Linked DNA regions of Astyanax mexicanus. The protein of the gene in region 4 interacts with the protein of the main gene of each other region in a pairwise test. Links are inferred from orthologs where the notes say so. Each region holds a gene or a part of one and is shown on either strand. Other genes may lie near its edges.

Region 1 (8,268 bases), on a different chromosome or scaffold from region 4:
TGACTTACCGGTCGGCGATAATGAACGTAGGGGTCTTTCTCCTCTGAAAGAGAGACAGACAGTTATTAAAGGTGTAAAACTGATTCAGAGCATTTTTACTAGGGTTCTCCTGATCTGATCCAGTGGATCAGGATTTAAAACACACAAATCACAGCAAATTCACCCTCTATAAACCAGTCATTATACATCTGTAGATCAATAAACACTTAAAGATCCATCTGATCAGTCCAGAGTGTGTACAACACACACATACACACAGAAAGTCAGTTGTCTGTGGTGCTTTAAAAGAACTTGGCGCTAAATGGTAAGCCTGGATTAAAAGATATTAAACACACTATACAACTGTAATTTTATAAAATTATATTTTTTACCTTCTCTGTAAAAGGTTCGTTCTGATGGACGTTTGACTTTTCTCTCTTTAGCCATGGCTTCTCTCAGCTTCTTCTCATACAGAGTCCTGGTCGTTTCTGACAGACCGTCACATTAAAAACTGTTATAATCTTTTCCTTTTATCCAGCACTGATTCATACTGTACGTTACGCCATTAATACACCCAGCAGGCTACTCCATTGTACACCCTACAATTTACCCTTTAATTCATACTGTACACTACACAATAACACATCGCACACTACCTTTAAATTCATACTGTATGCTGCCTCTTAATACATACTGAACACTACCCCCAAATTTATACTGTATGCTACCCCTTAAAACATACTGCATACTACCACTAAATGTATACTGTATGCTACCCCTTAATACATACTGCACACTACCACTAAATTCATATTGTATGCTACCCCTTAAAACATACTGCACACTACCCCTAAATTCATACTGTATGCTACCCCTTAAAACATACTGCACACTACCACTAAATTCATATTGTATGCTATAATACATACTGCACGCTACTCCTAAATTAATACTGTATGCTTCCTCTTAAAACATACTGAACACTACCCCTAAATTCATACTGTATGCTACCTTATAAAACATACTGCACACTACCCCTAAATTCATACTGTATGCTATCCCTTAAAACATACTGCACACTACCCCTAATTTCATACTGTATGCTACCCCTTAATATATACTGCACACTACCACTGAATTCATATTGTATGCTACCTCTTAATACATACTGCACACTACTCCTAAATTCATACTGTATGCTACCCCTTAAAACATACTGCACACTACCCTAAATTCATACTGTATGCTACCCCTTAATATATACTGCACACTACCCCTAAATTCATACTGTATGCTACCTTATAAAACATACTGCACACTACCCCTAAATTTATATTGTATGCTACCCCTTAAAACATACTGCACACTACCACTGAATTCATATTGTATGCTACCTCTTAATACATACTGCACACTACTCCTAAATTCATTCTGTATGCTTCCCCTTAAAACATACTGAACACTACTCCTAAATTCATACTGTATGCTTCCCGTTAAAACATACTGAACACTACCCCTAAATTCATACTGTATGCTTCCCGTTAAAACATACTGAACACTACTCCTAAATTCATACTGTATGCTTCCCGTTAAAACATACTGAACACTACCCCTAAATTCATACTGTATGCTTCCCCTTAAAACATACTGAACACTACCCCTAAATTCATACTGTATGCTACCCCCTAATACATACTGCACACCACCACTAAATTCATACGGTATGCTACCCCTTAATACATACTACTGCACGCTACCCCAAATTCATACTGTATGCTACCCCTTAATATATACTGCACACTACCCCTAAATTCATACTGTATGCTACCCCCTAATACATACTGCACACCACCACTAAATTCATACGGTATGCTACCCCTTAATACATACTACTGCACGCTACCCCAAATTCATACTGTATGCTACCCCTTAATATATACTGCACACTACCCCTAAATTCATACTGTATGCTACCCCCTAATACATACTGCACACCACCACTAAATTCATACGGTATGCTACCCCTTAATACATACTACTGCACGCTACCCCAAATTCATACTGTATGCTACCCCTTAATATATACTGCACACTGCCCCTAAATTCATACTGTATGCTACCTTATAAAACATACTGCACACTACCCCTAAATTTATACTGTATGCTACCCCTTAACTCATACTGTTTGCTACCCCATAACACACCACACACCACCCCTAAATTCACACTGTATTTTTTTTCCATAATACACACCACACAACCACAAAATTCATACTGTTTGCAATCACATAATAATATACTCTGTACACTTTTCGTTAATTTATACACAATGGTGTGAGAGGGATACTAAACTAGATCACTATAATAATGTTTTATTCATTAATAATAACAAATAAATAAATATTATTAATAATAAAAGCTTACCGACTACAGGACCATGTTTTATCCCGTAATCGTCCAACATCCAGCCGATCTCCTGATCACTTTTACTGCTCAGCATCGCCATCACTCTGTTATTGATAAGATATTTAATCAGGGATTGGTTTAATCAGTTATTGGTTTAGTCAGTGACAGTAATAAACAAAACTTTTATATAAAAAGAGATAATAGAAATGAAAGCAGCTGTATGAGCAGTTCCTCTTCCTCACTGTGCTTAAATTCACTTTCAGTTCACTTTAGACTAAAGGTTGGTTTCACTCTGTTCTGGGTGGAGACTCTCTACTGAAATTAATAAATAGTTCAGGACTGTTATTAATCTCTGTCCGAAAAATTAATCCAAATCTCCTATTCTACAAACGCAGACCTTCACAGACTCTGAATTTCCACAAATAAACCCTGTAGAGTCTCCTCTCACCCACAGAGTCTCTATTATTCACATTAATATTACCACCGATCCTCAACACTGACTATACTAAACCCGTAAACAACACTCACTCACACAGCTACAGTTCTACAGCCCGCGGTTCGGTTCGGGTTAGAGTTCTACAGGCCGCGGTTCTGCAGTTGAAGGTAATAAATGTATTTCTCTCTGTAATTATCTGAACATTCTCTCAACTGTGATTAAACTCACGCTCTGAACTCCTGCAGCTGCTGCAGTACATAAACAAACGCTCTTCCGCTTCCAGGCGGAAGTGATGCAGTTACTGTGGTTAACAGCGCTAATGCTAAAGCTAATGCTTTAATTCAGAGTTTTATTCCTTTATTATTTCTTTCTCAGCTTTATTCTTAAAAAAATGAATGTAATTGAAAAGTTACTTTATTTCAGTTAATCGCATATATTATATAGATGTATTACACACAGAGTAGGCTAATCTTTTAAGCATTTATTTATTTTATTGTTGATGATTATGGCTTACAGCCAAAGAAAACCCAAAAAATCAGTGTCTCAGAAAATTAGAATATAATATAATACAAATTGGTACTTTTTGTCAGTGTGGGCAGTGTTCCAAATCCTGCTGAAAAAAATGAAAGCCGCTTCTCCACAAAAGTTGTTAGCAGAGGAAAGCATGAAGTGCTGTAAGATTTTCGAGAAAAACATTGCATTAATAAAATCATTAAAATCATCCTGAATATATTGCTCTGTGTGTAATATATCTAAATGATATTATCTATATAAAATGTGAAACTATATAATAGTTACTGAAGTATAATATTACTTCAGTACTATCGACTTGGCCAGGATATTCCTTAAATTTTAGAAAGTATAATGTATTTTTGCTAAAATAAATAAAAGAAAGAAAACTTACCTATATATTTTATATGTTTTTCTTCAGAAAATTATGTATTTTGGTACTGAAACATGTGACATTGGTCTGTGTTGAGAAAATAAGAACTTGTTCAGTATGAAAATGAAATGAATATTTATAAACTCAATTTCTCCATATAAACCGTTTATTTCGGACTCACTCTAGTGCACCCTCTAATGGTCAAACAAACCTGGAAGAGATTCTCAAGTGGGAAGTCTCACATTAGGGGGTTGGGGATGAGTTGGGGAGCTAGGTATGAGTTGGAGAGTTGGGAATGAGTTGGATAGTTGGGGTTGAGAGTTAGGGTGAGCTGTGGGGAGATGAAGATGAGATGGGGAGTTGGGGATGAGATGGGAAGGTGAGGATGAGTTGGAGATAAGATGGGTAGTTGGGGATGAGGTGGAGATATGGAGATGAGTTGGAGATAAGTTGGGGAATTGCAGATGAGATGGGAAGTTGGGGTGGAGTTGGGGATGAGTTGGAGATTTGGCGATGAGTTGGAGAGTTGGGGATGAGTTGGGGAATTGCAGATGAGATGGGAAGTTGGGGTGGAGTTGTGGATAAATTGGATAGTTGGGGAAGAGTTGGAGATTTGGCGATGAGTTGGAGAGTTGGGGAAGAATTCGAGATTTGGCGATGAGTTGGAGAATTGGGGATGAGTTGGAGATTTGGCAATGAGTTGGAGATGAGATGGGGAAGAGTTGGAGGAATTGGGGATGAGATGGGAAGTTGGGGATGAGGTGGGGTTAAGTTGAAGAGTTGGGAATGATTTGGGGGTGGTGATCATTAAAAATATCTTTACTGTCATCACTATCTCTCAGTTCCTGTGGTTGAATGCAGTTTAATCCTCACAGCAATGCTCTTCTCCAAAAGTTTGTAAACATCTTCTCACTTTGGACAGTGGAGGCAGTTACTCCAACAAAAACAGAATTGTATTTTTCTTTTTTTTGACTTGAGAAGAAATAATGAATAAATAAATGGTCAGGTGTCCCAAATACATTTGGACATATGGAATATAGTGTATGTTTCATGACGTCCATATGTCAAATCTAGAGTCTCTGTTCAAAACAATTCCAGTGATTGGCACAAATCCTGTCATACAACCTTATCGTAGCCAATCGGAGCGGACAGTGGGAGCGTCACTCAGCTGTAGCCCCGCCCACTGTGCAGAACGTCTTCCTTATCATGAGGAGGTTCAGCAGCTGATCTGCTCGGTTCTCCAGCCTAAACAGATTCTCAGAGAGATCCAGAACCTTGAGTAGGTGTGGGACGATCTGACAGGTGAGTTACATCATGTTCTTTTTGTTTATAAGATCAAAGGCCGGGAGAAGACCCAGCGCGAGCACTTCGTGCAGCTTCAGATCAGGGTTCCAGAGCCCGCTCAGAACCCACAACATCTCCAGACTGCGCTTCTGTCTGCAGAACCTGCTCAGATTTTTTTTTACTAATCCTCAGTGAAATTAAGTAGATCTAGGACCTAATTTGTGACGACATTTTTATACCACTTTGATCCTCCACAGACAGGTGTGTGAGATCATGCTTTGATGTTTTTATTGATGTTAAAGAGTGTGGCTCGAGACAGAACAGAATGAATAGAATCACAATGAAGTTTCAGTGTTTCAGTATTTTATATTAGAGACGCACATAACATTAAAAGAATCATCCATAACATTAAAAGAATCATCCATAACATTAAAAGTATAGATCCCCCAAGGTGGCAACAAAGTATAAAGCAGACCTTAAAAGCTATTAAAAGTATTTAAAAAAGCATTCTGTATATTTGAATTAAATAAACCCGATTCTGGATAAACTTGAAATATGTAATGGCATAATGCACACATTCAAATTTTAACAATGCTTTTTTTTTGTGTGTTTAAAATGTTTAACCTTGTAAAGTAAGTTTGCTATTGAAAACATATACACTTTGAAATAATGACTGATTTTCAGATTTAAAAAAAATTATTTCACGAACTGATGTTTGACTCCTGGCCAGAATTTGTATTTCATTTTTTTTAAGTTTTAAAATGTATGGATCAGATTTTAAATTTGAAAAAATATATACAATTTAGTTTATTTTGTCATTATTATTATTTTGTATAATTTATAAACTGGAATTTATTTACAATTTGTTTTGAACTTGTAACTTGTTTGCTGTAGAAAAAAATACATTTCAAAATAACTTAAGATATACATATTCATATTTATATATATTTAAATCTATCTACTAAATGTCTAAATTCACCTCTGGCTTTAGCTAGCATTTCTTTTTTAATAAAAACGATTTGCATTTATAGATTATATTTTTTTTTTATCTGACAATGTAAAAATAAATAAATAATTAAGTGTATTTTTCAACAGCAAATTTCACTACTTTTATATTTATTCTAATGTCCATAATTTTCCATATAATGTGTCATGATGACTGGGGCTGCAACGGTTAGTCGATATAATCGGCAGTATCGATTATTTAAAATTTGTAAGCTACAAATTTCATTGTCGACTAATATTTAAAATTTCATGTTTAAACAACATCTGGACATTTAAATGGCTTTTAAATCTTATGCTTAGCTGTTTCTATTGTTTTTAGCGACGGAGAACATGGCAGGAGAAATTGGTGACTAATCAACTAATCGGTAAAATAATTGTCAGATTAGTCAAGTACCAAAATAATTGTTAGTTGCAGCCCTAATGATGACTGAAACTTTTTCACAAAAGTATATAGAAATAATTAAGTTGTCTTCAATAAATAGAGGTAAAATATAATATAAATGCTCAAATAGAAAGACAAAGATACCTTTTTTTTTATATATACATACATTGACTACATTGACTAAATTGACTAAATGTAGCATTGTAACAGAAAAAAGAATTCTGTGAAATATTTGCCCAGCTAAAGCTGCCCTAGCCAACTGTAAGTGCAATAATAATTGAACCACAAGGCAGTAGATCAGGTTGAAAGACACAAAATCCTTCCTGTCTTCCAGCAGCAGGAAGATGGAAGATGAAGATGAGATCGAAGGTCGAGCGACAAAAAGAGGCTTCCACAAATTAACAAGATCAAAAGAATCGGACAGCACAGTGAACCAGAGGGACCTGCACAACACCAACGGTAAAGGTAAACTACACCAAACTACACACCACCATACAATACACTACACTATACTATACACTACACTACACCCTACTATATCAGACTTTTATCCGATTTTCTAGATGTTCTGCAGATGTTGTGTTGTTCTGAATCAGCACACAGCAGTGGAGTACTAGCAGAGTATGAATATATCTGTTTTCTGCAGTTCTCTGTGTTTTGGATGAATTCCAGTTTAAGTCACTTACTGCAGAACAACAGCAGCACAGTTTTAAACAGTGTGTATTGTTGAGGAACGCAGTCTGGACCTCTGTTAGAAATGTTGTGACCTGTGTGGGAAATGTATCTGGGCAGGTCAGAGTGCCCTGTGCTGTAGGTGTCGTCCACCAACCATCTGCCAGTGCTGCTACTGTAACCAGTGCAAATATTTGACTGGTATTGTACTGACTTGTTGACTCATATATTGGCCATATATTAATCGTGTGGTAACCTAGCAACAACACAGCATGTGTTTGTGGTTACATAAGAGCAGAAATCAGGAACACTGTTCATCCTGCTGAATAAATACTGATTCATTGATTGATTTGTTCTTTCTGTTTGTTTTAGGAAATGTGGAGCTGGACCATATTCTTCAAAAGAGGCTCCTGCTGAGGAGAAAAGTTCAGGTGACCGAGTTTATTCTGTTTGATTGCATGATTTGTGCCAGAGTGTTACATGAATTACATCACTGTTACCTGATTTAGATCAGAGTGTTATGTTGTGCAAGAGAGGATTTGTGTCCTGTAAATCTGCAGGACTTGTTGCTGAAATCATGATTAACACAGTTTTCCCGTCTATAAAGGACAAAATTGCATGATGTGATTGTCTCACTTCAGAGGAAACGTCTGTTGCAGAGTCACATGTCTGAGTCACATGTCACTCTGCAGGATGAGTTATAGTGTAGAATAATTCAGATCAGTCAGGCCGGGGTTAAATCAGCTGAAAGTTCAGACTGGATGGGGAAGTTAGTTGTAAATTCCATGATTACTCAAGTTATTTAGAAAGATCCACCCTGTGTGCTCATCACTACCGCTGACATCTGACTCAGGCTGTTCAGAACATTTGGGTCGAAGGTTGAGAGTGACGGTTCTGTCCTGATTTTTATTTTACATAGTCAAGTCAAGCCTAGAGGCTTTTATTGGCATTACGTCTGGGTACAGGTACACAGTGTAACAAAATGACGTGTGTGTAGACTCTGCCTTAGCTGCTGTCAATGCAAGATCTCTGCTCTGATACATCAGCTAACAGACACCTGTACTGATCAGCAACCCAATGGGAATGATGAGTGAAGAGAGCACAACTCACCCACCAAGAGAGAGCATCACCAACTGTACTCTCTCGGACTCCGTCTGCTGATGGCCAGCAGCATAATTGGGTTATTATTTCAATCCTAGGGCTGGGCAGCATGGCAGTGTT
Region 2 (7,560 bases), on a different chromosome or scaffold from region 4:
CAGAGTTTTTCATAGATTGTAAAAACCAGCAGTAAGATTCAAATATCACTGTCCATCTCCTCACAAGGCAGCAGCAAGGATATGTTTGTTCCTTAAAGTACCTTTATGTCTGCTCCTTCCTTTGTAGTCAGGATATCTGTGGGTTTCAGAGCAGCGTTTTTATTCTGCTGCTCTTTTCTATTCTTTTCCTCCTGATCTGAGTCCGAGTCCGAGTCAGAGTCCCTCAACCTCTTCACTAAAGCTCTATCCAGCATTTCTCTGCAGAGAGGGAAATAAAAAAAGCGGAGGGGGGAAAAAGAAAATAGACATGTGAACATTTTTGAGACCAAGTGTCTTTTAAAAGTGTCTTTTAAGAAATACATGGACAGTTCTTAAAATGTATGCATACAGCCAGCTTGTCTAACCTTTAACATACAAGTATTATTATTGGAATATTACATTCTGGAGCAAATAAACATGAACCTGTTGCCACCATGCCACCTTGCCCAATGCCAGGTGTAGGATAGAGGGGTATCAAATACTCACAGCAATGCTCATAAAACTAGAAGACATTCCCTGAACAGAACAAACAGTTCTTTCATTCATATAGTCTATAAAAATAGCATCATCCCACCAGTTTCTTCATTTTCCATAATCTGAGAGAACAAAACTTGTACACACTGATTGCCATTAAAAGTTAAGCTTGTTTTTGCATCTTCAACTGCTTACTAACCTAACACATACAAATGACATCTGCTCTGACTGGACCGTACTGTGTATTGTTTCAAAATGAAAAAAATGGACTAAAACACTCTGTATAAGTTCATTGTAAACGCATATTCACTATAGGCTGTTTTACAGTTTAACGTCCACGTTCAAACCAGGGAATGACATTCTGGCATGAACAACTTTCATCATTAGCAACTTCGAGCCTTTTCCAGGAAAGATTCAAATAAAGGCTGAAGATTTCTTTATACTTACCACATACTTGGGTAGTATAGTATAAAGCACAAGTAGTATAAAGCACATACTTGGTCTCTCTCTCATCCTCCTCCTGCTCCTTCTCCTTCTGTCTCTTCTCCAGCTCCTTGTACTCTTCCAGCATGGACTCAAAGTCCACCTGAGCCTGCCGCTGGTTCAGCTCCTTCAGCTCCTGTAGGTTCTCCAGGACTTCCATCTCCATTTTTGAATCCCGTGTACGGTTCTCTAGAACCTGATGGAAACACCAGAGCATGTGGATAACTAAACAGAATTCTGGCGTATCTGAGAAAAGTTAATGGTTAAGTAGAAAGTATAATAAAGGCAACAAATAATGGTGGTCTTTAGTATAAGTATTTATTATGCTGCAAATAAAAAATAAGTTGTTCAATATTACCTTCATGGGGTTATTTAGCTCCTCCTCTTCTCGTTCCCTTTGGATTTTCTTTTCTTCCTCCTCAATCAGCTTCTCAGCCTGAAAGTTTCTTGTGGCACCGTGCTCCATAGCGTAGTCTGTGTTCTCTGGGTCTGTCTATTTGGAAATGTGAAAAACAGAAAGTTAAGACTGCAGTGAAGATGGAAATGTAATTTCCATGTATTTTTTTATTACTTCACTTGCTTACCTTAAATGTGATTTCTGCCAAACATCTTGTGCATTTAATATAGAAGCGAAAGATGGGCAGCCCCATATACAGCTCATTCTGTACTGTCTCTTTTCTTGCATTGAACTTCTTCCCTTTGTAAATGTACTCTCCACACGTCTTACACCTGAAGCAAAGAGATAGGAAACATTTAAACAAACAACGAACAAACAACACAATTTAACCAGTCATGTAAGTAATGAATTTTCTAAGTCTCTTACCTCATGTTGAATGGAGCCATCAATCGGACCACATACTGCCGGTCTTTGGGCAGTTTGAGCTTGGGGATTTTAGATGGATCGAAATCTGGGGGGTAGTATTTCTACAAAAGCAATACCATGCAGTGTGTAAACAAATTAGTCATCACAACAACACAAAACGTATGTCCAAGAACATGTAGAAACATGCTAGATTTTCTAAAATTATTGCTATACATTTATGAAAAGAGTATCTTATCTTTATGCAGCAGTATGAGCATGTGCTCAAGTTGTGCATGTGCACAGACAAAAGTAGTTATAGTGGTGCTTAAAAGTTTCTGAACCCTTTATTTTTTTTTTTTGTCATATTTCTGCATGAATCTGACACAAGTCATATTAGTATATAAGGAAAACCAAGTCAAACAAATTGATCCAAACAGAAATATCGCTCAATTCTGCTCAGAAATCTGCTCAAGTTGTGCAGGTATCAGGTAGGATGTCAAATTATATCAAACATGTAATGTTACGACTTTTTTTGGTGTTTGATACAAACGGAAATCTGTGGTGCTTTTATTTTTTTACATGACATAATTACTAAAAAAACAGGTTACCATTTTCTTAAACGTGTTAATTCTGGTCACTTCTACTGAAAACATGGATATTCTTTTTATATATATGAAATATTGTGCAACCTTAGCAAAATAATATTTTATTCGAGTGAACTATTCGAGGGACTATTACTGTAACATTGTACTTTAAAATGTATTGGAAGTAAGTAGCTGTAGTTGTGCTTGAAAGTTCGTGAACCTTTTAATAACTTAATTCTAAAGTATATTTCTAAATCTGACCTAAATATTTAACAGTATATAAGGAAAAACACATCAAACAAATTAATTTAGAAATGTAGCTAACACAAAATAGTTGTTAGGCTAGCCAGGTAAGTTAATGAAAACGTCTTACAGGGGTTTAGCCTCAATTTATCACGTTCTGAAATTATGTTGTGTAAATAGTTTCGTTTAACAGCAGATACTCGAGTTTATGTATTTATCTGTGTTTGTTTACCTGGGTTATCTGTTTACCTGGGTTAGCTAAGCTAGTGTCTGTAGCTATCTTCAGACCTGCGCTAGGTTAACTTAGTCAGTTAGCCTCATGTAGCTAACAGGTTAGCATATTAGCATTCTGACTAACCCTATCGCTTCCTTATTCATTTGCTTCATTTAATCACAAGTAGAAATAGAAGAGTATTTAATGTACTTACATTTAAGACCTTTCTTTCCGACATGACTGCAGCAGATCAATAAAAAACACAGCCCGAAAAACACACAACTCCTTTCAGTCTCACTCTCTTCCACAGAGAAACGGAGAAACAGTCAGACTGGCTCTCTACTGCCCCATATAGACACCCGGGAAAACTGCAGCCATCCTCAGTGATGTCACTGTAAATATGAGGCAGAAGAGGGCGATATTGCATCAAATCTTAATGCTTCTTTTCCTAATATTTCTAGGCAAGCTGCTCTTAAACCACAGAGCAACCCATGGTGGTACGACAGCTGATGTCATATACAGCTCTGAAAAAAATATTAAGAGACCACTTCAGTTTCTCAATCAGTTTATTTGATTTAGCTATTTATATTTGAATAAAATTAACATTGTTTTATTCTATAAATTATTAACAACATTTCTCCCAAATTCCAAATAAGAATATTGTCATTTAGAGCATTTATTTGCAGAAAATGATTGAAATGGTTGAAAATGGAAATAACAAAAAAGATTCAGAGATTTCAGACCTCAAATAATGCAAAGAAAGTTCATGTTCATGAAGTTTTAAGAGTTCAGAAATCAGGGTATATAACCCTGGTTTTTAATCACTGTTTTCATGCATCTTGGCATGTTCTCCTCCACCAGTCTTACACACTGCTTTTGGATAACTTTATGCCACCAAGCAGTTCAGCTTGGTTTGATAACTTGTGATCATTCATCTTCCTCTTAACTATATTCCAGAGGTTTTCAATTTGGTCAAATCAAAGAAACTCATCATTTTTAAGTGATTTCTTATTTTTTCCAGAGCTTTATATTGATGCCTGCACTAAAATATTAACAATTAAATATCTGAAATTGTCATAGAAATATATTATTCTTTTAAAAATACAGATTAATGTTAGCTGGTCATCCAGAAAAAAAAAAACATACACCATGCTGGTCACGAGCTAGTTTACTAGTATGTATTTTTCTATAATATTTTCTCGATTGACACTTTTCTGCTTGATATTATATGAATAAATCCTGAGGATTTCTATTCGAGCATTAGATAAAAAGTTTTTTTATGTTTGATAAGAAATTTTAATGAAAATCCTTTTTTAACACACCCACTTCAACTCTGACAAGGCTTGTTAGTAAGCTGTTGAATTAAATCAAGTGTGTTGAGAGAGGAGAAAGCCATACATTAGCAGGGCAGGTGGCGCCAGGACCAGGATTGAAGAACCGTAGTCTACAGCAGCAGGAGCACCACCTTAAAGAAGGTGTTTTGTTTTAGGCCGATTGAGAGTAATAAACTGTTTGTTGAAACTCTGATGTATCCGCAACCCAGCTTCGTGAGCAAATTCCTCATATCCAATCTCTCCACGCTGGCACGTAACAGTATTAGACGTTATCCTGGCGTAATTTTTTTGTCATCTGACGTCATGACCAACATTCAACATGAAATTAACGTCTATTGCCGTTGGTGGCCAGCTGGGCTGTGTATCTCCACAAAAATTCATTTTTTTTTAGGTTTTTGCAGCATTTAAGTTATTAACAGTTTAAGCTGTTTCTTGCGTTGAACTAAATCTTTTCATACTAACTTTCACTGAAAGTTAAGTTGTTTTAATAGTTGTATAATTATTAGTTATCATATTCCCAGAGAGTGAGATATCTGGATTTTGGGTTTAAAGTCTATAAACAGAATAGAATTTCTTTGTTAAAAAACACCAGAATACACTTGTGTAGTTACTTTCGTGTAGCTATTTTGTTTGTTTTTTACATAACTGGGTTTAAGTGAAATTGTTTTACTTTTACTTCAAAAAAGAGAGCAAATTCGTATATTACTGCTTATAATGTGGATAAAAAAATATCACAAAAAACAGAACAAATTCGAAAACAATGTTTCAAAAAAATATTAGAATATTAAAAATTACAGATGAATTACACCATTATCTCTACCTTAGTAGTGCTTTTGTTGTTGAGAGTGTTTTTATCTTGTTTTTATCTTGTTTTGCACTATGCGTAAAAGCGCATGGCACGCGTAAAAGCGCATAGGGCGCATAAAAGCGCATGAGATGCATAAAAGCGCACGGGATGCGTAAAGGCGCCCGGAATCCATAAAAGCGCACAAACACGCATAAAAGCGCATAGAACCCTCGTGCGCTTTTACGTGTGACATGCGTTAAAATTGCACAGGGCGCGTAAAAGCGCAGGGCACGCGTAAAAAAAAGCGCATGGGGCGCGTAAAAGTGCACAAACTGAAGTCTTGGCCAACCCCGGCAGCTGAAAAGCGAGCCTGCTTTATTAAATGCTGGTTAAAATGCCGGCACCCGCTAAAAAAAACGGATCCAAAACAGCTTGATGAAAGTTGTAAAACTTGTGCTAAACATACTATTTGCTGAATTGATATTGAAGGTTAAAATCAACAAATTCACAGCAAAAACCGAAGTCACCCATGAAAGAATAGGCTACTCTACACGTTCCATCCCACGTAATTACCCACATAATTATCCATTCACGCGGCATTTATTTATTTACTCATTTATATATTTATTTATTCGTTTGTGATTAAGAGTGATGAATAATCACAATAATTAAAAACAGAGCGCGTCTCTCGCGCCGTAATCCCTTCCCCATCCCTCAGCTCAGATGCGCGCGGGCGGGAGGGGACGCGCGCGCGGTTTATTCCCCCCATCTCTCCTTTTCTGAAAGAGAAAAAACTGAAATAATGTGTGTGAGCTGCGGGAAGCGGTGGTGGTGGAACCGGGGTGGTCGCAGGCTGCTGTGAATGTAAAAATCTGGGATATATAGCTATAAACTCCCTGGAGCTGAGAGAATGAGTGAAGTGCGGCTGCTGATGCTGCTGTTGCTGTGAGTGAGGAGACCGAGGCTGAGCGCAGAGAGACGGGCTCTTCAGCAGCTCCTCGCTCGGAGTTCTGACTGTAGCTGAAGCTTCTTACACCAACCGCCGTTCACCATGGAGCTATTTTGGATGTTAAAGTTTGAACAAACTGCTTCTGCGAACTGAAGAGAAGGAGAAAAGAGAGGCAGAGAGCGGGAGAAGGAGCCGCGGACGCCATGCAGTGATCAGCAGAGTTCAGGCGTAAGTAGGTTAAAATAACCGCCACTTTTCTTAATATGAACTTTTAGCCAGTTAGCTTAGCCAACCTATGTCAACTAACAGTTAGTTAGCTATAAAAGCTTAATTAGGCTTCCCTGGAGTAAATATGTAGGTAAGCTAATACAAGTACTTAAAAATATTATGATATTCACCATAAAAATGTAGTTAATACAATAAAACAACTTAGAAACAGTTAACGCTAACTAGCTGGCTAGATTGGTTTACCTAGTTAGCTAAGCTAACTCGCTAGCCGCCGGACGTCTACCTAGCTAGCTAGGTTAACGCTAGCTAACCCATCTAACAAAATGTACCTGAATAAACGCTTAAAACCCAGTTATTTGGAAAGGAGCCAGTCAAAAAAGCAAATAAAACTCTCTTTGTGAGAATATGTTTGTTACAAAAATTGTTGTTAGCTAATAAAAAGTAATGTAAAAGTACATCTAACCTTAAACGGTTTAATTTATGAAATGGACAAAATAACCCTTTTCAGTTTAAACTTTTAAGTTAGTTATTTGGAGAAAAAAAATCTGTCACAAATGCAAAGAAAATTTTTGTATGTAAAAAGATTTTTGTTACAATAAATATAGCAATACAAAAGTAGGTTTAAGGTTTAAGAATGTTTAATTTAGGAGATGGTAAAAATAACCTCGCCTTTTCTCAATTTAAACTTTTAGTTAGCTACGCTAACTAGCTAGCTTAGCTAACCTAGCTAGTTAGCTAACTTGACCTACCTAAGCTAACCAAGTTACCTCAGGAAAAGTTACAGTTACGTAAGCTACGATTGGCTTAGTTAACAAAACTATTTTAGGAAAAGTGTTTTCAGAATTTATTATTATATTCAACATAAAAATGCAAATAATATATTTATTACATTAAAACAGTGTAGAAATAGTTAACCTAACTAGCTAGATAGGCTGGTTAACCTAGCTAAGCTAACACGCTAGCTGCCATAATGTCAAAAGTCTATCTAGATAGCTAGGTTAATGCTAGCTAGCTAATTTAACTAGTTAAATTTACCAGAATAAACACTTAAAACAGTTTTTTGGAAACGAGTTAGTCAAAAATGTGTAAGAAGATTTTTGTAACAAAAATTGTAGCAACACAAAAGTACATTAAAAATGTTTAATTTATGCAATGGAAAAAATAACTTTTCTCAATTTAAACTTTTCAATTTAAACTAGCTTAGCTAACCTAGCTAGTTAGCTGACTTAGCCTTATGCTACCTAAGCTAACTAAGTTAACCTACCTCAGAAAAACTCCACAGTTACAAAAGCTAAGATAGGCTTCCTCAAGGTAATAAAACTATTTTAGGAAAAGTTCTTTCAGATTTTATTATGCTATTTAACATAAACTGCAATCAATAAAAACATGTATTACATTAAACCATTAAAAAAGCTAAAAATAA
Region 3 (8,494 bases), on a different chromosome or scaffold from region 4:
ATGAGTACCACGCACCGCGTTTTGCTTAACCCATTCGCTGCCGCGCCAGTGCAGCGGCAGCACAGATAAATGACAAAAAAATTTATATTCGATATTATGAATTTTGAGATCGTTTGACACCAATATCTATCGCGATCAAAATATATTTGATATATTGCACAGCCCTATAGTGTAGGACTTACACTTGACATATTAATACTGAATTCACCACAGTTGTGCTTATATGGAGCATTTTACTACCGCTCAAAACGCAGTCAATCAGATTTGACAGCCATAAAAAATGCGGTAATGACGGTAATGAGCTCATCACCGCGGTGACGTCCCATAACCGCGGTATTGCGGTAATAAAATTATCGTCACAGCCCTAGCTGCAGGTAACTGACCTTAATGTTGCAGGCCACAGCTTTCCCATCGTCTCCTTTATACATCAGCTTCATCCCTCTCAGAGTGTCCATGGCTTTGACGAAGCCGGTGTGGTCCTCGTACTGGATGTACCCTTCGAAGTTCAGATGGCCGCCAAACGAGAAGGTGTTGAAGTTCTTTCCGGTCATTTCCTCTCTGTAGGGATCCAGCATGGGGATATCTACGTTACGGATTTTACCGAAGTTCTCAAACACGATTTTAAGAACAGCTTCTGAAGGCCGGTCTGAAGAACTGTCCTTCAGGGCGAACCACTTGCACGGGAGTCCCTCCAGATGGATGGTGTCCGGACGCTCCCCGGGGACGGTCTCGTTCATGTCTTTGGCGTCTCTGAAGAAGGAGTCCCAGTCGTGGCGGGTGGGGAAGTCCACCTTGTTCTCCGCCGCTCGGACCTTCAGGATGTCGGTGAAGCCGCTCAGCTTGATGCTCTTTCCGTCCAGCTTCGCCACGAAACTCTTAACGATTCCCCGATTCTCCACCTCGCCCTCGAAGCGGATGAAGTCCATGGTGCTTTTGGAGATTCTCAGCGAGGAGAAGAGCTCCGGGTGAACCATGTTCTTCAGCCTCTCCATCACCTCCCAGTTGGAGATGGACTTGCCAGGCATCTTGAGCTGAGGCAGGGCCACGCTGATGGTCATCTTGGCGATGGGCTTCAGGTAGAGGTGGTACTCCTGACACAGATGCACAGCTTCCGTGGTGTCATGGATGATGGTGGTCATTTTGGAAGCAGCTGGAAGGTGAAGCAGAGGGAGTATGAATGAGGTGAATGGTGAAAATGACTAAAGACAGAAAAAGAAGTTGAAAGTATCTTCTTTTTGTTAATGTTTTATTTGTAATACATATATATTAATATATTTACACATTTTGGAGGGTTTAAAGGAATACTTAGCTAATACGAATCTTTGTTGGTTTACAGCAGGAGATGCTAGGCTAACACTGCTAACAAACCCTTTCTTTAGGATACCAAACATGCATTCATTGGTTGATGAACTGAATCTGGAGTTAATATCTCCAAAAGTTAACGCCTACATTACTTATCGAGTCTCTTCTCAGAGCTACATATTCCTTGTATTCCTGTTTTCTGTATTTCTTTCTTCTGGTAACATATTTTGTTTTGTGGATTGCTGCAGCTTTTAAAGTGTCTTATGGAAGTTGCTGTCACTATGATCCACAAAATCTCTCAACATTTTGATTGCACATTTAATTTTTTTTTGTGACTGATGAAATCATTTTGTGGCCCCTTACTGGAGCACAGGGATGTAAAGGTTCTCTATGGAGTGAATTTTGTGCCAAACGTTTTACGCAAAAAAATAAAATCCGCAATCAAAATCTTAAGAATCAAAAGAAAAAAGTGTATGGGGCAAAATCAAAAGAGAAAAATATATATACATTTACATATACATTATTTATTTATACATATACATATACATTTTTTTGTATTATTAGTATTATTGTCATTTTAAGGTTTATAAGTTTTATTTTATATTATATTGTTTTCTATTACATCTTATTTGAATGTTCCTTTTTATCTTTAATTTTACAGTTTTTTTCTCTCCATTTTTCCTTTTTTAATAGTGTTTTGATTGCCTTTTTCTATGTACAGCACTTTGAGCTGCATTTTAATGTATGAAAGGTGCTATATAAATAAAGCTTATTATTATTATTATTATTATTATTATTATATACATTTATAAAAAATACTTGGATACTTTATTATTCTTTCCAGACATTTGAATTTTGCCCGTCTCTGCTTAATTTTTGTAAAACCAGTAAAAACTGAGCCAAAACTCAGAAGCAAAAAAATGAAGCAGAATCAAACAAGAGATTCCACAAGCAAAAGTCTTTGACAGAAAAATCCACAAAATTCCACAAAAACACAGAGGAAAAAAAGGAAAAACGGAAAAATCCAAACTAATATTCTTATCAAAATAACTGCCAATAATAATAATAAAGTAAACCAAGTACATTTAAAAATATATATACTTGCTTATATACTTAATATACTTTTTGCAAACACTTTTGGCACAAAATTCACTTCATAGTTCTCCAATTCATTCACTGATAGAACTATGAATGGAAACATAAATCTGAACCCTTTAGATTTAGGTTACCTAGTTGAAAGCTTCTAAAAGCTTTAACACAGAAAATAATCACAGTAAATGGTGATAAATAAACTGGGAGATATCTGAAGCACTATTTTACCGGAGTTCTGAGAGGAATTTGGGGTCAAAACCGGTAACAGAGGAGGAGAAACAGCAGCCCGGTTGTTATTAACCTCTTACTCATGTAGCTAACAGATAGCTTAGCTTATGTAGCTACAGGTTAGATAGTAAATGAACCTTAGCGCTGTTTTACTAAAAAACACGTTTTTAATGAGATTTCTGAGCTTAAATGTGAAATATTTTATCAGATAAACACACAAACCTTAATCACAGATCCTGAATCTTCTCTGATAGAGTAAACAGAGAATCACTATTTACTGAATCCAGCTGCTGATTATCCTTTACTGATGCAATTACTAAACCATCAGAAACATTATTAACCAATAACCTACCGGAGACACCGCGCTGTCTGTCTCTCTGTCTCTCTCTCTCTGTCTGTCTGTCTCTCTGTTTTATTTTCTGTATTTTTACATCTTCAGGCCTGAAAGCGTCCCTCACACAGAGCCGCACAGTGAATCCAGCAGCAACCGACTACCGCCCGGCGCTCTGCTCACACACATTTCAAAATAAAAGCTCTATAACAATTAAATATCTATATTAATTATCTATACCGTCTGACATTTGTTTATACCAAAGACTGAAGTTGAAAAGAAAAAAAAATATTTTGCCATTAAAAATTGTATATTGTAAATATTTGTAAAAAAGAAAATGATAATAATAATATATTACATCTGGTAAGTAGTACTGTAAATAAACTGAGCTTTGAAAATTTATTTTAAACAATGTAAATTTACAAACCCTTATTCTGTAGTAAAGCAGTGCTGGTACAGATGGTGTTACTGCACTCTCTACTGCAGCCTTTACACACTTACACACAGCACTATTACTATTAAATTATTTTCTTATTGTTTATTAAACTGCTTTCTCATTATTTTAAAATAATAAGTCCTTAGATTAAGATATTAAGTCATTATTTTGCTATAGTTATTCCTTATTTTGATATAGTAAGTCCTTAATTTAAGATACTATCTCATTATTTTAAGATTCCAAGCCATATTCTTAGATAGTAAGTACTTATTTTGACTTACTATCTCAAAAATAATGAGATGAATTTCCTTAATAATAAAAAAAGAATGTGCTGTATTTTTTTTAGGTGACGGAAATGGGCTTCCATTACATTTACACTTTCATCATACTTAATGTTAATATAATAACAATAAACAGTGCTGAAAATAAATTAAATAAACATTGAATACAAAATGTACTACATTAATATAAATATACAAAAATACAATAATAAAAAATACCATGCTGTAAAATAAAAAAAACAGCCTGACGAACTAGATTCAGGGCACGTCCCATTAACTCAATACATAAAGGACTTTTATTATGGCAGGGGTCAGAAACGTTAAACGTGATAGCTTCTTTCACAAAGCCGAGCAGTAGCGCCATCAGGCGGTGTAGTGTTACAATACCTTCATTTATAATACATAACCTTTTCTTACTGCTATTATCCATCATAATAAAAATCATTATATATATATATATATACGATATTACATTTTTTTATTTCTATTTTGGTGCTTTTTTTAAAACACTAGAAAATTAATTACTACAAATGTACAGAATAATGTATAACTAAGCTGTAAACAGTATCTTATTCTATTGCACACTAACTAAAACAAATTCACACAAAAGGAGAAAATGTTCACTCTCAGTTTGTTTATATATTTGTTTTTTGTTTGTTTGTTTTTTTTAGTTTTTTGTAGTAATGAGCATTGATGTGTTTTATTTGTCTGAGGGCACAAGTGCATGTTGTGTTCTCTCTCTCTGTAATTAAACTCGAATAACACAAAAAAACACCATCATAACCATCATAATGGTGCATTAACTGCAGGCTGGCAGAAACTGGCACAGTTTCCTGGGGGATCTGTGCTGGAAATGATGTAACAGTGATGAGCTCACTGGTTTTATAGGTCACTGTTCACTCAATGTCCCACTAATGTTAACATAAAGCAAATTAAATAGTGTTAACAGATAAATAGATAAATAGAGATGTAGGACAGGACTGAAGAACACATACACTCAGCAGAAAATACAAAAATGAAGCTAAATCAGAGTTTAACATGTTTATTTTAGTACAGTTTGATTACAGATGAGCATGATGAGTATGGATTGGCATGGATTGGTGTTGCCATGTTGATTAAAATTGGAAAAATCATAACTGGCTTCACCCACCTTCTCCTTAACAATTCCTTCTTTTAAATATCTAAAAATATAGTTTTAATCATGTTTGAATCATGTTTTATTCTTATTTAATTTTGGTATCCATTTTATTTATATATATTTTTTTATTTGACTTCTCGGTGTATTTTCTAGTTTGTAAAGCACTTCAAATAACCGTTGTGTATAAAAGGTGCTATATAAATAAACTTTCCTTGCCTGACCATAAACAAAAGAAAAGTTTTTATATTATTATTGATATTCTCTAAAATAATTCTTTATGCAGTCATACACACTCCCCATATTTTACACTGAACTGTATGATTACACTGGGTCTCTGAACATTTGGTAGATCTGACTTTTTATTATTATTTATAAAATATTATATTTTATATATTATATATTTTTATTTGTATATATTGTACTGTTTATTTTATCTTTTCTTTTTTTACTGAGTGCCTTGCTATCCCTTTGCTGTTGTAATACTATGAATTTCCCCACTGTGGGACTAATAAAGGAATATCTTATCTTATCTTATCTAAATTAACATTTTAAGTTAAGTTAAGTCTTCCTCTTAGAAGAAAAACTAAACACTATGAATTAAAACAGATGTTTAGAGTTTCATCTTCTCAGACTCTCAGTTATCAGATGTGTGGAGGAGGATCAGGTAACTTCAGTCTAATAAATAATGAACACACTCCAGATGGCTGACTATTATCTACTCTGAGAAACGATCAATAATGAAATAATGATTCACTGATAAATTGATGAGAATAAAAAACACTGTTAAAGTGTGAAACTGAAGTTGTTCTTAAATAAAATTGTAGAAACAATTTCTATTCTATTTACTGAATTTATCACATAGAAAAAATAAGAAATTAATGAGTATATGTACATTTAATGTGCCAGCACTTTAGTATGTTTTAATATGTTTTAGTGTGTTAAAATTAATTGTGTAGCAAAATGAGAATGTAATGTATTTACACTTTATTTAACACAAAATCATCACATATTATTAGATTTGCTCATATAATTTCATTTCATATTACAGTATAATTTATTTATTATAATATAATTCCTATATACATTATTATAAGTTGATTCTTGCTGTGACTATTTTATATAAATACATTTATATGTAACAATAGTATAGTATAGTATAGTATAGTATAGTATAGTATAATACTTGTTTTAAGTAATGATATCAGTTGAATCCTCACCCACCCGTGAAAACTGTGCCAAAACTCAGAAGCAAAAAAAAATGTAATTCCAGGAGCAAAAGTCTTTATCCGCAAAAAATCCACAGCAAATTTAATTCTCTTTTGAATTTGCATCATATACTTTTTCCTTTTAATTCTTAAAAAAAAAAATGATAGCGGATTTTATTTTGTTTGCATAAATTTCTGGCAAAAAAATGTACTCTTTACAAATCATTGTAATATTACAGTCACATTATTCTATATGTTTTTTACAGAAATCTGAAAATAAGAAGATTAAATGATTATATGTGCAGTAATCTCATTTATTGTAGTACAGAATAAGCAGCACAAACACTGAGGAGGTGAAGTCTGAGTCTGATCCAGTTTCTCTTTTACAGGAGGATTAAATTCTGATCACATTCACAAAAGTAATGTTCCAAATAATCAACAAGATTCAGATTATAAAAATATATAAAAAGTGCATTACAAATAAGCATGTACAACATATTAAACATATTAACATATTAAAAGCAGGTGTGTAACAGTCATGATTGTGTTTCACATTTATGCATAAACGCACATCTAAAGCCACCAGTACCATTTTACACTTTACAATAAATGTTACATTAATTACAGTCCTTATAACAGAACATCTCAACTAATGATTAACTAACATTTAAATATAATTTACATACATTTTTCTTAAGTATTAACATTTTTGTAATGTCAAGTAATTTTTAATAATGCCTTAAGTAGTTTCAATTAAGAATTTGTTGAGATATTAATTTTAAACATTTAATTAGGCCTGTCACACAAAATATATATTTGTGTCTATATATTGTCCCATAAATAATTGCAATAAAGGACAATTTTATGCCACTGATATAACAATAATTGCATAGCATAAAATTACAATTACATGAATTGTAACAGTAATTAACTTTTTTAAAAGAAAATTTAGACATTCAGACTGACATGAAATATATATTTTAAAATATATAAAAAAAAACAATCATAAATAAAATGAAAGCACAGTTTGTGAAGTAAACATTTTGGCTATTCACATTAATGTGATTATTTTTTTTTGCTAAAAAAAGCATAATATAATGTGATATTAATATATATATATATATATATATATATATATATATATATATATATATATATATATATATATATTACTTTAGGAAGTGCTGTTAATTGATGTATCCTTATTGTAAAGTGTTTTTAAGCATCAGAACAGCAACATTAATCCAGTTAAGGACCGGAAGACGGAGGAGCAGTAAAGGCACACTGTTCACCATCAGAACACCCAAAACAGAACCGTGCAAAAACTACACCAGGTTTACAGCAGGCAGCGTGCATATTTTATATTTCACAACTTTATAGCATGAATGTGCTTCAGAAATTCACTAGCTAGCATCCCAGGTTAAAGGGAAATTCCACTGATTCACCTACATTCTTAATTCATGTTAAAAAGAGATAAAAAGAGCAGGATTTGGTGATTGTGATTGATTGTAGAGAAATATACTGACTCAGATTTCTTTACTTGTGGTGAATAAATGCAAGCATCCTTCTTCTATACCTACAACAGAAATATAGACATTTTTAATATGGAATGTTGAGAATAATTTAAATCCATTCACCACCATTCTCATTATTTTTTCCCAATTGTCAGAGAATTTTAACACTAAACCCACTCTGAAATAAAATACCTGTACTTCATCTACATCTTAACCATGTATTTAAACTGTGTATTTAAAATTCTACCTTAAAATATAGCAAAGTGTCAAATGCATTGGTCCAGTAGTGCTAATCCCTATTGGTCACATTTTCACAACATAGATTAAAGCTTTACTAATTTGTTTTTTAATTCGTTCTTGTTAAAGAGCCTAAGTGCTTGGATATCCAGGCATATCTGAGTGTTTAAGCCCATTAGCGAAACGGGGAGCTTAGTGCCGCGTGAATGCTTCAGGGGGTGAAACAATGCTACACTGTCCGACAGCACCTAAGAGGTAAAATTGGGACAGTTTCAGGAAAGGTCCTCGTTCAGAGACGTTCCTCTATTATCCAAAGAGGTTAGATACGGGTCTGGACTTGACCGGACTCTTCAGGGACCGGTTGCCCTCTTCTGTCTCTCTGAATGAGGTGCTGTGAACTATCTGAGTCCTTATCTTGCCTCTATTTAGCTTGATCCTGCCAATGGAAGCCTTGCGATACAGCGATTTTGGCTTGGCCTGGCCGTCAGACGCAGGTTCCTCCAGCGGGTTGAGAAGTCTCAATGGGTTAAGGTTGGACTGGAGAACTTTGGGAAGGCGCCACCATCCAGCACTGTACTCTACATTTTCAACACCCAAGTCAAAGTCCTTGCAAGCTCCTACAATATCCTGAATGTCCTTCGCCACCGAGGGATCGAGGTACTGGGAAGGCTTCTTCCCACTGTAGTCCCTCGCCTCAAGGTCCGCATTGTAGGCTCCAACCAGCAGCTTC
Region 4 (8,280 bases):
AATAAAAAAATATATAGGCCACAGGCGACAATGCACTGACCGCTGTGTGTCTCTTAACCAATCGTGGTGCCGGTTCAAGTAGAAAGTCCCGCCTTTCAGGAGAAACAGCCAATCAGCTAGCTGGTTTTGCGGAGCGCAGTTTAGTGTGCGGGAAGCCCCGCCCCTCCCCTCGCTGTGAGTTCAGGCAGCTAGTCGGAGCAGCTGTCGTTAAAACTAATCTGGATATACGGAGATTTTTCTAAAAGAAAGGTAACTAACCATGTAAACTGTGATGAGATTGTTTCTGATAGCTGGTTAAAAAGACTCTTCTCTGAATCAAAACACAAATTAAACCCACTGTGTGTTTAATAAAATACAGCTTGTGACTCAGTTAGCTTAACTTTAGAATTAGCTAGATAGATATTCAGGGTTTGAGAAAAATCTACATATATATATATATATATATATATAATGCCCTGCCCTGATGTGCCTGATCAGCCAATAACTATCATTTCCAAACTCTATTAGTTCAGGGCTAGTTTTAGGGTTTGTTAGAATTTGTTTAAATCTCAAGTATTGTGGTAATGTATTATAATGTAATGTAATGTATTATTTAGAAGGGGTAGAAGAGATGGTTGAGCTGGAGAGAGAGAAAATGTGGAGAGGGCTGAAATTAACTGAACTGATCAGGAGTGGACTGAACGATAGAAAGAAGTATTAATGAAAGATTATTAATTGTGTAGGCCCCTTAGGACTATTATTTACTTATGGAATATATCTGATCCATGTCCTATTTGTAAATTTGTGCACCCTTCAATTTCAATTTTAAGTCTATTAAATAAATAAAAATAAATAAAAATATATATATATATATATATTTTTTTTTCCCCCCTCGTTTGGGCTGTTGGGGCGGCGGAAAAAATCCCTTATTTTTAAGTCCAAAACTTGACAGGTATGGTATTAGCAGCTAGCTGTTAAACAAGCTACTAACTTGGAGCTAATCTCTCCTAATACAGACTTCAGCATGTATTTTATGAATATTTCATTCAATAAGAATGGGAAACACAAAAATGCGTTGTTTTCTGTTGAAGACACATGCAACATTTTAATTAGCTTACTTCATACATCAATTTTAGCCAGTATCATTAGCTCTGACTTTAAAAAGCAGTCTAAAACCACCGCCTGAACCTGATTTATAGAAAACGCATGGATTGATGTGATTCTTGGAGTGTTTATAAAAACAGTCGTGACCCAGATGGAAATACAAAAGCACGCAAAAAGTGAGTTTTGCATAATATCTACCCTTTAAAGGAAAGCAGAGGGCAGGAATATTATGTTAAATATGAACAATGCAGACTTAGACAAGGTTACGACTAAGTATAAATTGACAAAACTTCATGCAGCCTTTCTAGACTTTTCCAGAACGCTCAGACTATCAGTCCGCTGCCGTCTTCAGAGGAATACATACTAAGATATAGGATAATGGGCTTACTCGTTTATGTGTCTTTTCTGCCCTCTTGTGGACACATTTTACCAGTGCATGCAGCTCCACATTAACTTACAGTATTTACATCCTCATTTAAAGCAAGTTTGACTCTATCTATCTATCTATCTATCTATCTATCTATCTATCTATCTATCTATCTATCTATCTATCTATCTATCTATCTATCTATCTATCTATCTATTACACCAATTAACGTTACACCGACACTTTAATTAATAAAGTCCCTTAATTAGTTATGATTTTATATAACAACATTAATTAATGACGCTCCAGCTCATCCCAACTCACCTCAAATCACCATCTCAGTTGATAAGGTTTAGATCAGGTTTAGATTGTGGAGGATAAACATTATGTTTACTACGTAAGTACTAGTTTCCTTATGTGTCGCTTAATTGTTTTCATGTGATTAAAATTACAAAGTAAAAACACTGTATATTTTTTTATTCCAAAAGCATATACAAAAAGGAGAAAAAAAATAAAATAATAAAAAAGGATAATGAAATACTTAAAAAACTAAGGTATCACACAGCAAACTGCAAATCTGTACAATAATAATAAAATAAAAATAGGCGCTGGGTTGTTAAACACAAAATAGTCCTGTAATTTGTACACAGATTTAACACATTATTTTAAAGAAAAATTAATTATTTTTTAGTCAGAGCGCGCGGTGAACGGACAGGGGGCGTGGCTTCGGCTATCTTGTCCTCTATTGGTCCGTTTTCCGGAATCGAGCTCATGTGTCACTTTTGCAGTTATTTTGAAAACCCCAACAAAGCGCTCTCTGTTTGCGGGTCAGAGAAATAAAACCGACCTTAAACTAAACGATGGTCCTCCCGTAACTTTCTAAGGTAGGACTAGTCTCAGTATTCCCGCTTATGTTAATAAATTAACTTAAAATCCGTCTCATGCAGTAAAACGCTGGTGTGAGCTAAGCTAAGCTAAGATAACTAACTAACCTAGCTGACAGCAGCAGCTGTAGGTTTAGAGCTAACTGAGCTAACTGTTAGATTAGGTGAACTATAGCTCAGATAGCCTAATTAACGTTAGTGTTAATCTACTGTTTTCAGATAAACAACAGGTTTTCTAAACTCACGTAACGTTATATCTGCAGCTGAGCTACAGCTTGACTGAGCTAATAGCAGGGTTAAATTACTAAGTAACTTGTTTAATGTTTTATAAAAGTTTGCACATTGTTTTATCTATCTTACTTAATTCATCAACTTTACGATTAAATAGAAATACATTATGAATATAATATGAATAAATATAACTATAAGGTTCGGTGTAATAACTGTTCATAGTGGTGGTGACTACATTAACTAGTAGTGCAAAATCGAATATATAACCTAGGTTATTTAGTATTCTCTCTCCCATACGGTATTATCCTCCTTTCATCAAATTTGATTAATGATTCAATCATTACAAATGTACAGTTTATCAGGACTCAAACAAAACAAACATTAGGTCTTTATATACTGATATCGTTACAAAATAATCATAACAATACGATAAACAGTGTTAGATCACCTAGTTTTAAGAGTCAAATAAAAAAAATCACTTTTTATTTATAAAGCGATTGTATTACAACTGATGTCACAAAGCAGCTTAACAGAAATGTGATCACAGGACAGAGAATCAGACAACATTGGACATACAATACAGAACCCCCAGCGAGCAACGGAGGCAAGGAAAAACTCCCTCAGAGATAAAGGAGTACCTTATATCACATATACTATCACACATACTATCAAGGCTAATATATAGGGGAGGGGGACCCATTCTCCTCTGGTCAGAACTTAATCATTGGTTGTTAAATAGTCATTCTATGGTTGTTATATTCAGATAAATAGCCACACCAGCAGTGGAAGCGGTTAGAAAATTCTTAGTTAGAGTATCATACAAACTTGGATGTAATCGGTAGTGGAGAGTGAGCAACTTGTCCAATGCAGGTGGCAAAAACTGAACAATGGACAGCTGATGTGTGTTGGGTGATGGGGAAACCTGATCTACGGGGACTTCCATCAGGCCACACAGGTGACCTGAGAACCTAAGGGTCGACCTGAGGGTCAAACATCCATTAGTGTCAGTCTGGACAGGTTGGCAGTCAATAACTTGAAAGAAGGTAGGAAGTCAAAATGAATTTTGACTGGATTTATGGAGAGCAAACTATATGACAGGGAGAGAGCCAGAAGGTAACATAGACACAGAGGCACCCTGAAACACCGGCAACCACCCACTCCACCGTCCACAAACCTGAGTGACCACGTTCAGTGGGAGAACAACAGCACCAGCATCTCAGTTTACCACAATTCCCTCTGTCCATGAACCCCTGGATCTGCAGCCTTATCTAAGGGGAACATTAATTACCAAAAGCTAAACTAAACAAGTACGTTTTTGAACTAGACTTCCGAGAATGAGACTATCTGAGCCCTGAACATTTTCTGGAAGGTTATTCCAGAGTTGTTGAGGTTTATAAAAGGGTTTTTGGAAACTTCTAGGAAACCAGCTCCCTGTGATTTATGTTGTTGTGACTGTTCATAATAAGAGATGAGGGCTTGCAAATACTCAGGGCTTTAAACGTAAACAGGAGAATTTTATAGTCTATGCAGAATTTGACTGGAGGCCAGTACAGTGTTGATAGGTCTGGGCTAATTATGGTCAAATTATCTAGTTTTTGTAAGAGCAATGTTGGGCATAAAATGTATTTTTAAAATCTATTTTAGTGGATAAATGCATATATGCATTACATTATAAGGCAAATTAGTCATTAGTCATTTAATTAACATTTCATAGAACAATCAGAAGACAGGTGTAGGGTTAAGGTTTGTCAATCTTAAACTAACTTTGTCAAACATTAAAATTTAATTCTGTTAGAAATGTCTTTTTCTAGCTGTAACAGCACTTTTATTCTAATTAATTTCGTTAATTTTCCTTCTTTTAAATGTATTGTTTTAATCATGTTTTATTATTGTTCTCATTTTTATTTTATTTTTATTTCCATTTTTATTTTTTATGTCATTCTTTTGCATGTTTATGTGACTCTCTTTGAATTGTCTAATTTGTAAAGCACTTTGAATGACCGTTGAATGAAAGTGCTGTATAAATGAACTTTCTTTGCTGCTGTGTAGTTTCTTGATTTTTCTGAGAGTTTACTACTTCACTGATTCTAAGATGTATTTTTTCAGAAACTCTCCCACTCCAAAAAGGTGAGAGGATGTTATAAGGGTGGTCAAATCTTCTAACCTGTGCAACAGAAGAGATCCCCTCAGAGAGGAAGAGGACACTATGATGGAAAAGGTGAGCTGCATCTTTTCTACCCATTCACTGAGCAGCCATGTGTTGTAATCCGATCTGCACCAGCCTCCCTTTAAATGAAGGGCTGTACACCAGCCTGGTCCCCAGAGGAGCAGAGGAACTCGGCTTGGGCACCTAGCAGAAGAGAGCAGTCACCTGTATACTGTGTTCTGTATTTTCCATAAAAGCAGTCAAAAGCAGTAGTTTTTAGGTCAGTTGAGTGAAGGTGTAGAGAAGAGATGGACAGGACAGCTCTGACTGTTCGGCTTCATGCTAGAGATAAGACGTATGTCTTTCTGTGGAACTACAGTCAGTTTCAGGTAGCTACTGATGCTCTGCACAAATCTTTCCATTCTGAATCTCAGCAGTGTTGGTAAGAAACTGTGTAATGATTGAGGTGTTTGATTTTAATTTGCAGCAGGAGCAGACGGATTGGGACGCTGTTAATCGGATGCTGCAACATCATGGTTTCAAACCTGTTCGCTTTGCGGATCCAACAGAGAACAAGAACCTGGCAGGTATTCTAAGTCTAGTTTTTAAAGGAGTAGTTCACTTCAGAATCTGTCAAACAGCCATTATTGGTATAATGACATATTTGATATGTGTTGTGTGCTTCTTTAGTTAGTTATGAGAGATGCTAGGCTCACCCTGCTCTGCACATTTATTGCTTTTTCTTCTCTTAACACACCTGTTTCAACTAATCAGTTAATTGACAAGTTCTTACAGAGGTGCAGGGGTGTTTGTTAGCCTTTCATAAATATCTGACGCACATTTTTTCCTTCTCCTTGGTGTAAATTAATTCTGATCTGGCTGTTGAGGCTCACTTGCATTGCTAGAAATAGGAAATATTTCGAATTTTAGTACCACTTATGGCTGTGGACAAATAGCATATAAAAGTGACCCAAATTGATTTTTTCCCTTGTATGTGACATAAGCCCTATTTGGACAGGATTAGTTTCTCAGGTGGCTGTCTGTGAAAAATATTTCACACTTCTACTCTTCTCAGTGAGTTTTATGGTTTTCTCGGTCACATGACATTGCGTTCAGTAGCTCCTCCACTTCTACTCGTTGTTGTGTTTACGTGGATCTCCGTGGAAACATGCGCCCAAAGTGTAATTACGATGCATGGTAGTGGACGCGAGGAGATGAAACTCAGAGATGTCTGTCTGAACATGACTAAAATTATCGGAGGAACACGGAGTTCACCGAAGAAGTAGGTAATTTAACTTGTCATTTTCTCAGGACGTCTGAGAAAAACACGTATATGGTCGTTCTGAACAGAAATAAAATCACAGAGGACCCCCCTATAAAAGAGCAAATTACCCCAAGACCCCCTGAGAAATAAATCCCGCTTGGATAGAGCTAAAGATGTGTTCTTAGTTTGGCAGTATAAAAGGCAAAAAACTGACAGTTTCAGTTCCGATTTGGGTAATTTTCCATTGTGGTATTGAAATCTGATACCTGTCTAATTTGTAGCAAAGCAACTCAGTCTAAATAGACAGACAGGAATGTATGTGACTTTTACGTCATTTATGGAAAAAAATGGCAGTAAGGAGAAGGGGAAAATGGACAACAGCAGTGAGACAGGGGTTCAGTTGCTGAATAATGACCTCATAAAAGATAATAGCCCTATAGATGGGGTGAAGTCTTCTTTTAAACGTAATTCATAGATTGTGTCACAACCACTCAGTGTTTCTAATGAAACATCACAGGATTCCATAACTGCAATCTGAATGGAAGTCCAGGTTTCATCTACTGAAACTCCTTAATAGCTCCTGTAATGCGGCTAATGTGAAACTTAAACATCATATAAAGTGTTGCATCAAAAATCTGATCTACCTAAAGTGGCCCAAATCAAATATTAGACTCAGTGTGTTCTTTGGATTTCACACTGCCACATAGATCAAATATCTGTGTCACATTCAACAAAAAAGACCAGATTGAAAGATCTGCTGTGTAAACCAGGTTTAAGACACACTGATTTAGTTTTAGTTTGTTTTGGGCACAACATTACACTATGACTGTTTGTATCCGTGTTTGTATTGATAAGTTTTCTATTTAATCAGATCTAAGCTGTATTGTTTGTGCTCTTTAGACCTGGTTCTGCTGGAGAGAACATCATCAGCTGAAATGCGGAACATGCTGAAGACAATGTTGACAGATTCTGAGAGGAGGCAGGCCCTCATCCAGGAGCTCATTCAGTCCAACAGCCAGCTGAAGTAAGACATGTTCTACAGTATTATTTACCCAAACCATGTTTTTATTTTCTGAAATCAGGACTATTAGTAGTGATGCATTAATTTTTATTAATTTATTTTTTATATATAAATGAAACTGAACTAAAGTAAACAACTGGCTAAATGCTAAATACTAAACATGGCCTTACACTGGATTTAGTAAAATTACCGCTTTTTTCTACTGTTGCATTATATTTCTTATATCATGGCATTAAAACATTTATTTTATTATTTTATTCTAAAGATTAATTTATTCCAGCCGTACTGTTCTGGTCACACAAAACCTTGAGAGTGCTTTTCTTTTTTAATCTTTTTTTTATTTATCTTTTTTTTTTTAATTTATTTTATTTATATATTATATATATTTTCCACCATTTCTCTCCTATTTACACAGCCAATTACCCAACCCACTCATTAGGACCCCCCCAATCACTAGTAATGCCCCAACACACCAGGAGGATGAAGACTAGCTCATGCCTCCTCAGGGGAAACACTACAATTTGACTTAAAATAAATTATTAAATAAATTATTCTGTATAATTTAAATTATTCTGTCTTTTCATTTATTTAGTTTCTAAATATTTAGTGCCTCTTCAGCTATTAAGTGGGAATTGGTCCTCCTGTAATGCAGTAACCACCTCTTCTCTTCTGAAAGGGCTTTACGCCAGAATTTGGAACATTGCTGTGTAGAGTATTAGATTGCATTCAGCCACATGAGAGCAGCAGTATCAGTCAGGTCAGTTACTGATCAAGTCAAGTCAAGTCAAGAGGCTTTTATTGTCATTACATCTGAGTACAGGTACACAGTGTGATGAAATTACGTTCCTCCGGAACCATGGTGCAACATAGAACAACAAGCAATAGACAACATAAAATGCAGGAGTGACGACAGTGCAACGTAAAATTATAAAATTATAACACTAAATAACAATAAATACAAAAGACGAGACAATTTAAAGACAGGACAGTGCAGTACCGATACGGTATAATAAAGTGTATAGTGGGGATAAGGTGCAGAGATGTGTGACATACTGTAACATATAGAACATATATAATCACAGCAGTTACTGAGGTACAGTTTGTAGTTTTTAAGAGTGCAGCAAATAAAGTCATGTCAGCCTCTGTGTGCTGACTGGATGTGTGTGTGGGTGAAGTTCAGTTCTTTGTGAGTGTAAAGGGGGGGGGTGTACAGTTTAGTTTTGTGTAAAGGGGGGGGTGTACAGTTTAGTTTTGTGCGAGTGTGTTGGGTGAGTGGTGGGTGGG

What was found.
Region 1: the proteins of cep70 (region 4) and uncharacterized protein LOC103043983 interact in binary tests that used the Homo sapiens proteins (3 or more experiments, as listed by UniProt). The two-hybrid records come from large-scale screens. The link is inferred for Astyanax mexicanus from reciprocal best matches to the Homo sapiens genes CEP70 and EMD.
Region 2: the proteins of cep70 (region 4) and yju2 interact in a two-hybrid assay, tested with the Homo sapiens proteins (2 studies listed by BioGRID and IntAct). The two-hybrid records come from large-scale screens. The link is inferred for Astyanax mexicanus from reciprocal best matches to the Homo sapiens genes CEP70 and YJU2.
Region 3: the proteins of cep70 (region 4) and akap17a interact in binary tests that used the Homo sapiens proteins (3 or more experiments, as listed by UniProt). The two-hybrid records come from large-scale screens. The link is inferred for Astyanax mexicanus from reciprocal best matches to the Homo sapiens genes CEP70 and AKAP17A.

Annotation. Positions count from the first base shown.
Region 1 is NC_064419.1:7,954,355-7,962,622, reverse strand, and holds the start of uncharacterized protein LOC103043983, read right to left. Parts: upstream 3,145-8,268; 5' UTR 3,050-3,144; exon of another isoform or gene 2,914-3,049; intron 2,490-2,913; 5' UTR 2,486-2,489; coding exon 2,404-2,485; intron 468-2,403; coding exon 372-467; intron 44-371; coding exon 9-43; intron 1-8. Other genes in the region: soat1 (sterol O-acyltransferase 1), read left to right, coding at 6,720-6,840, 7,420-7,478. UniProt on the Homo sapiens protein: Stabilizes and promotes the formation of a nuclear actin cortical network. Stimulates actin polymerization in vitro by binding and stabilizing the pointed end of growing filaments. Inhibits beta-catenin activity by preventing its accumulation in the nucleus.
Region 2 is NC_064411.1:46,961,872-46,969,431, forward strand, and holds the start of yju2 (splicing factor YJU2), read right to left. Parts: upstream 3,185-7,560; 5' UTR 3,078-3,184; coding exon 3,054-3,077; intron 1,921-3,053; coding exon 1,820-1,920; intron 1,726-1,819; coding exon 1,581-1,725; intron 1,490-1,580; coding exon 1,355-1,489; intron 1,193-1,354; coding exon 1,011-1,192; intron 259-1,010; coding exon 102-258; intron 1-101.
Region 3 is NC_064418.1:639,219-647,712, reverse strand, and holds the start of akap17a (A-kinase anchor protein 17A), read right to left. Parts: upstream 3,146-8,494; 5' UTR 2,975-3,145; intron 1,151-2,974; 5' UTR 1,140-1,150; coding exon 384-1,139; intron 1-383. Other genes in the region: sowahca (ankyrin repeat domain-containing protein SOWAHC), read right to left, coding at 8,071-8,494. UniProt on the Homo sapiens protein: Splice factor regulating alternative splice site selection for certain mRNA precursors. Mediates regulation of pre-mRNA splicing in a PKA-dependent manner.
Region 4 is NC_064430.1:21,251,898-21,260,177, forward strand, and holds the start of cep70 (centrosomal protein of 70 kDa), read left to right. Parts: upstream 1-4,811; 5' UTR 4,812-5,019; coding exon 5,020-5,100; intron 5,101-5,198; coding exon 5,199-5,298; intron 5,299-6,875; coding exon 6,876-6,999; intron 7,000-8,280.